Saccharomyces cerevisiae S288C: one gene and its partner. The protein of the gene in region 1 binds, or shares a complex with, the protein of each later gene. Each region holds a gene or a part of one and is shown in the gene's direction. Other genes may lie near its edges.

Region 1 (6,404 bases):
CTGTCGCCTGCCTCCCCTTCCTCTTTTCTAGCCATGGACTTCGAGACTAATGAAGACATCAACGGGGTCCGTTTCACCTGGAACGTGTTTCCCTCTACTAGAAGCGACGCTAACAGCAACGTCGTCCCTGTGGGCTGTTTGTACACACCTTTGAAGGAGTATGACGAATTGAACGTTGCCCCATACAATCCAGTTGTGTGTTCCGGTCCACACTGTAAGTCGATTCTAAATCCTTACTGTGTGATTGATCCGCGCAATTCGTCCTGGAGTTGTCCCATCTGTAACTCCAGGAACCATTTACCTCCACAGTACACCAACTTGTCACAGGAGAATATGCCGCTAGAGTTACAGTCCACCACCATTGAGTACATCACCAATAAGCCCGTTACCGTTCCTCCCATTTTCTTCTTTGTTGTGGATTTGACTTCGGAAACCGAGAACCTCGATTCGCTAAAGGAGTCTATCATCACTTCTTTGTCTCTATTACCTCCCAACGCGCTGATTGGGTTGATCACTTACGGAAACGTTGTTCAATTGCACGATCTGTCCAGCGAAACTATTGACAGGTGCAACGTGTTCAGAGGAGACAGGGAGTACCAGCTCGAAGCGTTGACGGAAATGTTGACCGGCCAAAAGCCTACCGGCCCCGGCGGTGCTGCATCTCATCTACCGAACGCCATGAACAAAGTTACGCCCTTCTCTTTGAATAGGTTCTTCCTGCCCTTGGAACAGGTCGAGTTCAAACTGAATCAATTACTGGAAAATCTGTCTCCAGACCAATGGTCTGTTCCAGCGGGTCATAGGCCATTAAGGGCCACAGGTTCCGCTTTGAACATTGCATCTTTGCTTTTACAGGGCTGCTATAAGAACATCCCAGCAAGAATCATTCTTTTCGCCTCCGGTCCAGGCACCGTGGCCCCAGGTTTGATTGTTAACTCAGAGTTAAAAGATCCCTTAAGATCCCACCACGACATCGATTCTGATCACGCGCAACATTACAAGAAGGCCTGTAAGTTTTACAACCAGATTGCACAAAGAGTTGCCGCCAATGGACACACTGTTGATATTTTTGCCGGTTGTTACGATCAAATCGGTATGTCTGAAATGAAACAGTTGACCGACTCTACTGGAGGTGTGTTGTTGCTAACCGATGCCTTCTCTACCGCGATTTTTAAGCAATCATACTTGAGATTGTTTGCCAAGGATGAAGAAGGGTATTTGAAGATGGCTTTCAATGGTAATATGGCAGTCAAGACAAGTAAAGACTTGAAGGTACAAGGTTTGATTGGGCATGCTTCTGCTGTAAAGAAGACAGACGCTAACAACATCAGTGAATCTGAAATCGGTATAGGTGCAACGTCCACCTGGAAGATGGCTTCCTTATCGCCTTATCACTCGTATGCGATTTTCTTTGAAATTGCAAACACTGCGGCTAATTCTAACCCAATGATGTCTGCCCCTGGTTCAGCAGATAGACCTCATCTAGCATATACTCAATTCATCACTACTTATCAACACTCCTCTGGTACCAACCGTATCAGAGTCACCACGGTCGCAAACCAGCTTTTGCCCTTCGGTACTCCTGCCATTGCAGCTTCTTTCGATCAAGAAGCTGCTGCCGTTTTGATGGCTCGTATTGCTGTTCACAAGGCTGAAACCGATGATGGTGCAGATGTTATTAGATGGTTAGACAGAACTTTGATTAAGCTATGTCAAAAGTACGCCGACTATAATAAAGATGATCCTCAATCTTTCAGGTTGGCTCCAAATTTCTCACTGTATCCTCAATTTACCTATTATTTAAGAAGATCCCAATTCTTAAGTGTCTTTAACAATTCTCCGGATGAAACTGCATTTTATAGACATATTTTCACAAGAGAGGATACGACTAATTCTTTAATCATGATTCAACCAACTCTAACTTCTTTCTCAATGGAGGACGATCCACAACCGGTATTATTAGACTCTATCTCCGTCAAACCCAATACCATTCTATTATTAGATACATTTTTCTTCATCTTAATATACCACGGTGAGCAAATCGCTCAATGGAGAAAAGCCGGTTACCAAGACGATCCACAGTACGCAGATTTCAAAGCTCTTCTTGAAGAGCCAAAATTAGAAGCCGCAGAATTGTTAGTAGATAGGTTCCCGCTACCAAGATTCATTGATACTGAAGCCGGTGGTTCTCAAGCCAGATTCTTGTTATCTAAATTGAATCCTTCCGATAACTATCAAGACATGGCGCGCGGAGGATCTACAATTGTCTTAACAGATGATGTTTCCTTACAAAATTTCATGACTCACTTACAACAAGTAGCCGTCTCTGGTCAGGCATAGGAGCAACGGCTTTCTTTTGTTTTATTTGATCGTTATTAGGCTTTTTGTATAATATAAGGCCTGTTCAGTCCATTGCGCGTGCAAGAATTTTCCTTTGGACCTGAACGAAAAGAGTAGAGGATTTTATATAATATATTCTCCGTCTTTTTTGTACTGCGTGGCCTTTACTACGAATATCTGTATCTAATTTCTTTTCTAACTTTTTTATTACCATTACTACTACTACTATTATTATTATTATTATTATTATTATTATTATTATTATTGTGTATGACTATAATGCTTTACTGCCTCCAATTATGCTTTTTTTATTATTTTTTTTGGCTGAAACTACAGTATAGTAGGTATGTATATATCTAAAACTCAAAAAGTGGCATGTCTAATGTAATACCATCAAAAACAATGAAATTATTTAATGGAGATAGCCTTTTACCTAGAATGTTAATGACATCCTGCGCTACAGCACCCCCTATAATGGCCGCGACAGGAGCAAACTCGATACCTTTCTGTTTGATAAACTGTTGTATGTAATCGTCCTTTACCACTGTTGCTGGTACACCCAGATTTTCACACCATACGGCCGCATCTCTTTTCATTTGTTCAAAGCTTATGGCCTTGCCCTTTTGGTTGAGACCATATTGCAATAAGGACAGGGTTAACGGCAAGATACTAGTGACTCTTTTTAACTGTCTTTGCGTCATTTTTTCCTTTAATGTTGCTGTGCTTAAAACTTCGTTCAGTGGCCTATAGCAGTTCTTGGTCTTGATTCGTTCATATGTTTTTTTTTCATCTTCTTCATCTTTTCTAGTAGTAACTTCTATAATGCTCCTATTGCTTGAAATGGGACCAACGGTGGTAGGTCTTACACTTTGCAATTTTTCATCCTCTGAAATGAATTCAATCAAATCAATAAAAACATAAGCGAACAATCCATTAGAACCAGCAACATATAATGGAATGTTTAGTTTTCGAGTTAATGTGTTAATTTTGATTGCTTCATCAATCTGCATTTCTGTAGCCACGACTAAATCAAACTGCTGAAAGAACTCTTCGTCCTTTTCTTGCAAATCCTGCTTATCAAAGTTCAACTCTATACGGGGGTTCAAGTCTTGAATTCTCTCTTTTGTTGCATCAATCTTCCATTGGCCAACATCTTCAGAGCCTATGAAGAACTGGGATCCTAAATCTTCTTCAGTCACCATGTGTCCATCCAATATGGTTAAATGCCCTATACCACTAAGGACGATACTTTTGGTAATTTCAGAACCAATTGCTCCAAGATTGATCAGCAATACTTTTGCTGATCTCATATTGGCCTGTGCTGTCATTCCCCATAGACGAATCTGTCTATCATACAGTGCAATTTCATCTTCACTTAATTTTTCTACTTTCATATCCATAGTTACTGATTTAATCCACTCAGTTTGTTCTTCTTTTACTTTAATTGATAACTGCAAAAAATAACATTAGTGTTCTAGTATCCATAACACCGCGGTTTTCCAAAGTTTCAATTAAAGACAATAGAGAGAAGAAATACTTTAGACTATAAAAATGATAAAAAGGAAAGTTAGAAGCACAAACTAATTGCCCTTTAGTATGGATTTACTACGCATTTTAGACACGAAACCAATACCTACAATTGTTGATGCTACTACTCTGGGAATCTCAGGAAATACTTCCGGTGATTATTGGCTGCCAACTACAATGTCGCTTTATCAAAAAGAACTCACGGATCAAATAGTATCATTACACTACTCAGATATCTTGAGATACTTCGAAACGTCACACTACAAAGAGGACGTCATTCTCGAATCTATGAAGACCATGTGTTTAAATGGTTCACTGGTAGCAACCCATCCATACCTACTAATAGATCATTATATGCCTAAATCGTTAATAACTCGTGATGTTCCTGCACATTTAGCGGAAAATAGTGGAAAGTTCAGCGTTTTGAGAGATCTCATAAATCTTGTTCAAGAATATGAAACTGAAACGGCCATTGTTTGTAGACCTGGGAGAACAATGGACTTACTGGAAGCCTTACTATTGGGAAATAAGGTGCATATCAAAAGATATGACGGTCATTCTATCAAGTCAAAACAAAAGGCAAATGACTTCTCGTGTACAGTTCATTTGTTTTCTTCTGAAGGAATTAATTTCACAAAATATCCGATAAAATCCAAGGCTCGATTCGACATGCTGATCTGCTTAGATACTACAGTGGATACAAGTCAAAAAGATATTCAATATTTGTTGCAATATAAGAGGGAGAGGAAGGGTTTAGAAAGATATGCTCCAATTGTTAGGCTAGTGGCCATTAATTCAATTGATCATTGTAGGTTATTCTTTGGTAAAAAATTTGACAAGAACAGTAGAGAATACTTGGAGAACGTTACCGCAGCTATGGTAATTTTAAGAGATCGACTGGGCACACTTCCACCTGATTTGAGGCCCATTTATTCACAAAAGCTGCATTATTTAGTAGAATGGTTGGAAAACCCAACAGTACCGTGGCCATTACCAGATATTTACCCTTTAAAACAATATACTTCCATGGATGTAGAAAGGTCTTTGTTAACGGAAGTACATTTCAAAAAGTCAGATGATCAACTAGAGGATGCTTTTTCCAACTGTTCCAAAAAAAGAGGACGCCATGGTGCTAATAAGGCAGCATCTTCAACTGTTGCCGGAATTGAGGATAATATTACTCCAAGTTTTTACTCTACCAAAAGATTAAAGAACGATTATTATACAAATCCTTTAAAACAAGACATGACACAACTAACAGGTATTACTACAGCTGACAACTCCTCGAATGTAAATTACCACTTATCAAGTGGAATCATAACACACAAACTGATTCAATCAATGGGAGAAGTGTATATGGATATTTGCGTTCAGAAACAGGAGCTGGATGATTATTCTTGCCTTGATGATTTGCAAAATGATCATCTGAAATTTTTCTCAAATGAAGATGAGAAAATTATAAAAGAATATGAAACCGTATTGCGAACCAATAATGAAAACTTAAATAGGTCGCATGAACTAGAAGTTGAAAACAATTTGAAGTTTTCCCAAATCGAAACACTGGAAAAAGACATTGAAACTTTAAAGGGAAGTTTGATGGCCCAAGGTGAAACATTATCAAAGTTAAAAGACGCTTTCGTTAAAACAGACAATGTACAAGACGAGATCGAGAAAGAAGAAAGGGTAAGTGTATCAAGGGATACTGAGAAGAAATATATGGAACAAGAAATCAAAAGAGCCGTTGATGCTATAAGGGAAAATGAGGAGGAGACACACAAACTTAATGAGAAACAAAATGGATTAGAAAGTGAGTTGAAATTGAAATTCGAAAAGTCTGAAATCTCTACAAAAGAATTGAATGAGAAAATTGGCTTTTTGAAAAAGGAATTAAAGCTTGAGAATGATCTAAACGAGGAGTTAGTGGGACAGTTATCGAAGACGATGGACAACTTGGAAAACTTAACAATTCCACGAGTTCGTACTCAAAATGGTAACACAAAAAAAAAATCCAGGGCAAAAAAACCAGGAAATGTATAATTAAATAAATAATGCAGTGTTAATAAAACGTTAGTTTCAAAAATACTAAATACATTTCTTTACACAATCAATTCCAGAGCTTGATAGACCTATCCCATCCGCCGCTCACTAAAAAATGAGAATTATTCGAAATATCCAAGCTAATAATTTTATCAGTGTGGCCTGCTAAACTTCCCATTTTTAACCACGTATCACTACTATACACATTGATCAAATTATCATAGCCACAAGAGACAAGTTTCTTTCCGCCGTCTTCCTTTGAAAACCTTACCTGCGTAACGATGTTACGATGCGCCAATATTTGATTTAGTTGGCCTTCATCCCGTTTTCTGATGTCCCAAACATTAATGATTCCATCACCACCACCAGTGGCTACTTGATACCCGTTTGGTGACCAAGCTACGGTGTAAATAGGCTTTGAGTGTCCTGCGAGTGTCATCACCTTACTTCCGGATCTTATATCCCATAGCATTGAAAGCGAGTCCATGCCACCGCTACAA
Region 2 (6,375 bases), on another chromosome or scaffold:
CAAGGGAATAGAAGATATGTAAATCGTTACTTCTTTTATAATCCCAAAACACGAAACGAAAAATGCGGCAACAACAGCGCAGCAGGATGAAGAAAGAGTGAAATAAATCAAGACAATAGCAAACAAGAAATTTTTAGTAACCCAAAAAGAAATTTTTCTGTGAAAATTGGTGCGGAAAGACTAAGAAAAACCGCAGAAGCCGGAGAAAAGCGCGACTGCCCGAAGAAGGACGCGGGGTGAGGGAATAAGACAATAGGAAACAGGAGGTCGAAAAGCTTATTAAGCTGTGCAAGTGAAAAAGATAGAGAAATGACGATAAGGTGAGGAGGATAAAACGCGTTTCAAGTCACACAACAGCAGCAGTAGCAGCGGCAGCAGCAGCAGCGGCAGTAATAAAGACTAGCCCTGTGTATTCCTGTTTTGACCTATCTTCTTTTTGCGGATACCCGCACAGCACGTGTTTTTCCGTGGAACGGGATTTGGCAGAAAGGTTTGCATTGCACTATTTACATGAGCTTATATATGTTTTTTTTTCTACCTGCATTTGTATATCTAATGACGAAGCGTTCTACTGGGAAGACACTTCCGTCTGCTCTGTAGGATGTGATTCGAGCTTAGCTAGTTCCTTCAGAATAACGCTTTCTTCCCTCGCAATGTTCCCCACACGCTGAATAAGCTTGTGTTCCAGCCCCAGAGCATTGAACACATCGTAATTCCAATGTTTGTCCTTGTCACCCATCCTCCATGGGTCCTCCCAGTATATGGACGGTTTTTTGGCGGGTACTGTCTGCTTTTCTGCTGGTGTGGCATTCTCAAACACCTTCAACAAGGACTCCCGCAAGTCTGCCACTGCCTCTTGACAATATGTAGGTCTATACTGTCCGCTATACCAGACGTGCCCGTTAGAGTCCTTTTTTCTTAGCTTGTCACTCTCCTTACGCTGTGCCACATCACGGAGGTATCTCAACCGGCAGAGGTTCTGGTATAGATGGACACTCTGCTTATAGTTTTGCAAGTTCACTACACACATACATTTCCAGATGTCCCTTCTCAATGATGGCTTTCTGTTGCTCCAGTTTGGTCTCACAAACAGCTTATCCACCTGTGTTTGCGAAAAGTTGGGAAATTGAGAATATAGTACTTGTCCATACTCTAGGTTCCTAAAGATGTATACCTGGGGTGGGATTATCTTTGTCTTTTCGAACCATGAAGCGGGGCGGAATCTTGAAATTGAATGGTTTACCTTCATGCTTTTGCCCTGAAATATCGATTTTTCCGTCGCTGTTTCTCTATTTATTCCTCACAGGATCTCCTCTTTCCGTTTCCTCTACATTTCATCATATAGCCTTACTTTCACTTTTTCCTTTAGTATCTGAATATCGGAAAAGAGAATATTGTAGGAAATGTATTTTTCCCGTCTACCGTACAAAATGAGTCGTTAACTTGACAGGAATCATCAACTTTATGCACGTCTGAAATTTAACCGTGGCGTATATGGTTCATTGCTTACACGAATGTCTCCTAGTTTATATTTCCTGAGAAAGTTCTCTACAGCCCAAATAAATAGTTATATAGATATATAAGAAAAGCGACAACAAAAGAAAAAAAAAAAATACAGTCCTACTAAAATAACATAATTGCGGCACAGAAGAGTAACCACAACTAGTAGAACATCGAGAAAGGAGAGGTAACAAAAAATTTTTTTTTTTAAAAAGACAGAATTGAGAACGATTGAAGGCGTTTAAGTAGTAGTAAAAGTATTTGGCTTCATTAGTGTGTGAAAAATAAAGAAAATAGATACAATACTATCGACATGAGTAGGAAAAATTCTAAGAAACTAAAAGTCTATTACTTACCTGTAACGCTAACCCAATTTCAAAAGGATTTATCAGAAATTTTGATATCCCTGCACGCCAAGTCATTCAAAGCAAGCATAATAGGAGAACCACAGGCAGATGCAGTGAACAAGCCTTCCGGCTTACCTGCTGGCCCTGAAACACATCCGTATCCAACGCTATCACAAAGGCAATTAACCTATATCTTTGATTCAAACATAAGAGCAATAGCCAATCATCCTTCCCTTCTAGTGGACCATTATATGCCTCGACAGCTTTTGAGAATGGAGCCCACGGAAAGCTCTATTGCTGGGAGCCACAAGTTTCAAGTTCTCAACCAGCTCATTAATTCGATATGCTTTAGAGACAGAGAGGGCTCACCAAACGAAGTTATAAAATGTGCCATCATCGCACACAGCATAAAGGAATTAGATTTGCTAGAAGGTTTAATATTAGGCAAGAAATTCAGAACCAAGAGACTTTCCGGTACATCTCTTTATAATGAGAAACACAAATTCCCTAATCTACCTACGGTCGATTCCACAATAAATAAAGATGGAACACCAAATTCTGTAAGCAGCACAAGCTCTAATTCCAATTCGACCTCTTATACAGGTTATTCTAAGGACGACTATGATTACTCAGTGAAAAGAAACCTGAAAAAAAGAAAAATAAATACGGATGACTGGCTGTTTTTAGCCACTACCAAACATCTCAAACACGATCAATACCTATTGGCTAACTATGATATAGATATGATAATTAGTTTTGATCCAATGTTGGAAGTTGAATTGCCCGCTTTGCAGGTACTGAGGAATAATGCCAATAAGGATATTCCGATAATAAAGCTATTAGTACAAAATTCTCCAGATCATTACTTGTTAGATTCTGAAATCAAGAATTCAAGTGTTAAATCGTCGCATTTGAGCAATAACGGTCATGTCGATGATAGCCAAGAATATGAAGAGATCAAATCCTCCTTACTATATTTTTTGCAAGCAAGGAATGCTCCGGTGAACAACTGTGAGATTGATTATATTAAATTGGTAAAGTGTTGTTTAGAGGGGAAAGATTGCAATAACATTTTACCGGTTTTGGATTTGATAACGTTAGATGAGGCCTCCAAAGATTCGAGCGATTCTGGGTTTTGGCAGCCTCAATTAACAAAATTGCAATATTCGTCTACAGAATTGCCCCTTTGGGACGGACCATTGGATATCAAAACCTACCAAACAGAGTTAATGCATAGAGCCGTCATAAGATTGCGAGATATACAGGACGAGTATGCCAAAGGCACTGTTCCACTGTACGAGAAACGATTAAACGAAACTCAACGGCAGAACCAGTTGGACGAAATAAAGAATTCTGTTGGTCTTACATTCAAGAAAAAACAAGAAGTGGAAAAATCCATTAATGACTCTGAAAAAAGGTTGAAGCATGCGATGACAGAATCTACCAAGCTACAAAATAAAATAAATCACTTACTGAAAAATAGGCAGGAACTAGAGAATTTCAACAAATTGCCCTCGAATACTATTTCATCAGAAAATCATCTGGAAGAGGGATCTGCCTTAGCAGACAAGTTGAAGGAATACATAGACAAAAATGCGACTCTTTTTAATAAGTTAAAGGAACTCCAACAAGCAAATGCGGAAAAATCAAAGCTCAATGATGAACTACGTTCCAAATATCAAATAGAATCTTCAAAAGCCGCAGAGTCCGCGCAAACATTGAAAATTTTGCAAGAATCAATGAAGTCTTTAGAAAACGAAGTTAATGGTCCACTGACTAAATTTTCCACAGAAAGCTTGAAGAAGGAGCTGGAACGTTTACAGAATGATTTTCAGTCGCTTAAAGCAAGAAACAAATTCTTAAAGAATTACATAACCTTAATGAACCGACAGTACGACTTAAAAAACAAAAACAACGTCCAGGTGGAAAAAGCTGCCGCAAATGGTACACGGTTTAGATCAACAAGATCCAATACCCCTAATTACACATGAATGTGACGTTTCCTAAAAGAAGTAGCCTGTATAATATAGAGAGATTTTATATACTTTCTTAATGAATTAGACTGTTTCTACAAGTATTTGACACTGGAAAAAAAGAGAAAGTACATAGAGATTGGCCAAATATTTAAATCTACACAGTTGCCTATCGTTTATCGCCTTATTCTTCAGAAACATTTCATCAACTACTCTGGTGCATTATTTCATGTTAGTTACCATATATACCGGCCGGCCGCATCGGGGTTTTTTGATTGAAAAAATTGGTATATTTTCAGTACACATATAAATAAAACCCTCAATTTGCCTCTCCAACCGTTATAACTATTCCAGATCCTCTTTACCGAGCAAGTAGGCTAGCTTCTGTAAAGGGATTTTTCCATCTAATACAATGAGTGGAGTATCAAATAAAACAGTATCAATTAATGGTTGGTATGGCATGCCAATTCATTTACTAAGGGAAGAAGGCGACTTTGCCCAGTTTATGATTCTAACCATCAACGAATTAAAAATAGCCATACATGGTTACCTCAGAAATACCCCATGGTACAACATGTTGAAGGATTATTTGTTTGTGATCTTTTGTTACAAGCTAATAAGTAATTTTTTTTATCTGTTGAAAGTTTATGGGCCGGTGAGGTTAGCAGTGAGAACATACGAGCATAGTTCCAGAAGATTGTTTCGTTGGTTATTGGACTCACCATTTTTGAGGGGTACCGTAGAAAAGGAAGTCACAAAGGTCAAACAATCGATCGAAGACGAACTAATTAGATCGGACTCTCAGTTAATGAATTTCCCACAGTTGCCATCCAATGGGATACCTCAGGATGATGTTATTGAAGAGCTAAATAAATTGAACGACTTGATACCACATACCCAATGGAAGGAAGGAAAGGTCTCTGGTGCCGTTTACCACGGTGGTGATGATTTGATCCACTTACAAACAATCGCATACGAAAAATATTGCGTTGCCAATCAATTACATCCCGATGTCTTTCCTGCCGTACGTAAAATGGAATCCGAAGTGGTTTCTATGGTTTTAAGAATGTTTAATGCCCCTTCTGATACAGGTTGTGGTACCACAACTTCAGGTGGTACAGAATCCTTGCTTTTAGCATGTCTGAGCGCTAAAATGTATGCCCTTCATCATCGTGGAATCACCGAACCAGAAATAATTGCTCCCGTAACTGCACATGCTGGGTTTGACAAAGCTGCTTATTACTTTGGCATGAAGCTACGCCACGTGGAGCTAGATCCAACGACATATCAAGTGGACCTGGGAAAAGTGAAAAAATTCATCAATAAGAACACAATTTTACTGGTCGGTTCCGCTCCAAACTTTCCTCATGGTATTGCCGATGATATTGAAGGATTGGGTAAAATAGCACAAAAATATAAACTTCCTTTACACGTCGACAGTTGTCTAGGTTCCTTTATTGTTTCATTTATGGAAAAGGCTGGTTACAAAAATCTGCCATTACTTGACTTTAGAGTCCCGGGAGTCACCTCAATATCATGTGACACTCATAAATATGGATTTGCACCAAAAGGCTCGTCAGTTATAATGTATAGAAACAGCGACTTACGAATGCATCAGTATTACGTAAATCCTGCTTGGACTGGCGGGTTATATGGCTCTCCTACATTAGCAGGGTCCAGGCCTGGTGCTATTGTCGTAGGTTGTTGGGCCACTATGGTCAACATGGGTGAAAATGGGTACATTGAGTCGTGCCAAGAAATAGTCGGTGCAGCAATGAAGTTTAAAAAATACATCCAGGAAAACATTCCAGACCTGAATATAATGGGCAACCCTAGATATTCAGTCATTTCATTTTCTTCAAAGACCTTGAACATACACGAACTATCTGACAGGTTGTCCAAGAAAGGCTGGCATTTCAATGCCCTACAAAAGCCGGTTGCACTACACATGGCCTTCACGAGATTGAGCGCTCATGTTGTGGATGAGATCTGCGACATTTTACGTACTACCGTGCAAGAGTTGAAGAGCGAATCAAATTCTAAACCATCCCCAGACGGAACTAGCGCTCTATATGGTGTCGCCGGGAGCGTTAAAACTGCTGGCGTTGCAGACAAATTGATTGTGGGATTCCTAGACGCATTATACAAGTTGGGTCCAGGAGAGGATACCGCCACCAAGTAGCTATATAGAATCAAATCTCATACATAATTTAAAGAACGAGAGTGCAATGTGATGATTGTGATTCCTGATCCTATGTCACGGACGACGACTTGTATCACCTTGAATTTTCTGACCAAAGGGGCCGAGTCGCTTCACGAGGGGATGAGAAAGGAAAAGAAGGGAAAACTAAACTTATATAACGCAGGTGTGTCTTTCTACCATTGCCATCAAGTTATTAAAGGCCACGAACAGGAACGCTAGAGACCTGAGTTTGTCATTTGTTTAGTTCAAGGATTAAATAAACAATCCTTCTACAAATAAGTCCTTTCTTTCACCATCGTCTTAAGACCACTGCCTCCAACGAAAACTAACCTAAAAGAGTTTAGATCACGAG

The links. The genes of interacting proteins can lie anywhere in the genome.
Region 2: the proteins of HDA3 (region 1) and HDA2 are in contact, whole or in part, in a cryo-EM structure (PDB 6Z6O), measured with the Saccharomyces cerevisiae proteins. Residues at the interface, in NP_015505.1 of Saccharomyces cerevisiae: Tyr129 (codon at 4,321), Glu130 (codon at 4,324), Lys170 (codon at 4,444), Asn172 (codon at 4,450), Asp173 (codon at 4,453), Phe188 (codon at 4,498), Pro192 (codon at 4,510), Lys196 (codon at 4,522), Arg198 (codon at 4,528), Lys214 (codon at 4,576), Tyr218 (codon at 4,588), Gln221 (codon at 4,597), Lys223 (codon at 4,603), Arg224 (codon at 4,606), Glu225 (codon at 4,609), Lys227 (codon at 4,615); in NP_010581.3 of Saccharomyces cerevisiae: Thr62 (codon at 1,997), His63 (codon at 2,000), Gln72 (codon at 2,027), Asp93 (codon at 2,090), His94 (codon at 2,093), Tyr95 (codon at 2,096), Arg98 (codon at 2,105), Thr171 (codon at 2,324), His245 (codon at 2,546), Lys247 (codon at 2,552), His248 (codon at 2,555), Asp249 (codon at 2,558), Ile414 (codon at 3,053), Lys415 (codon at 3,056), Gln418 (codon at 3,065), Lys605 (codon at 3,626), Phe606 (codon at 3,629).

What each region holds. Positions count from the first base shown.
Region 1 is NC_001148.4:893,297-899,700, reverse strand, and holds HDA3 (Hda3p), read left to right. Parts: upstream 1-3,936; coding exon 3,937-5,904; downstream 5,905-6,404. Other genes in the region: GTPase-activating protein SEC23, read left to right, coding at 34-2,340; E1 ubiquitin-activating protein AOS1, read right to left, coding at 2,697-3,740; U4/U6-U5 snRNP complex subunit PRP4, read right to left, coding at 5,972-6,404. UniProt on the Saccharomyces cerevisiae protein: Required for activity of HDA1 histone deacetylase complex. The HDA1 histone deacetylase complex is responsible for the deacetylation of lysine residues on the N-terminal part of the core histones (H2A, H2B, H3 and H4).
Region 2 is NC_001136.10:1,050,086-1,056,460, reverse strand, and holds HDA2 (Hda2p), read left to right. Parts: upstream 1-1,813; coding exon 1,814-3,838; downstream 3,839-6,375. Other genes in the region: mitochondrial 54S ribosomal protein mL67 MHR1, read right to left, coding at 569-1,249; sphinganine-1-phosphate aldolase DPL1, read left to right, coding at 4,233-6,002. UniProt on the Saccharomyces cerevisiae protein: Required for activity of HDA1 histone deacetylase complex. The HDA1 histone deacetylase complex is responsible for the deacetylation of lysine residues on the N-terminal part of the core histones (H2A, H2B, H3 and H4).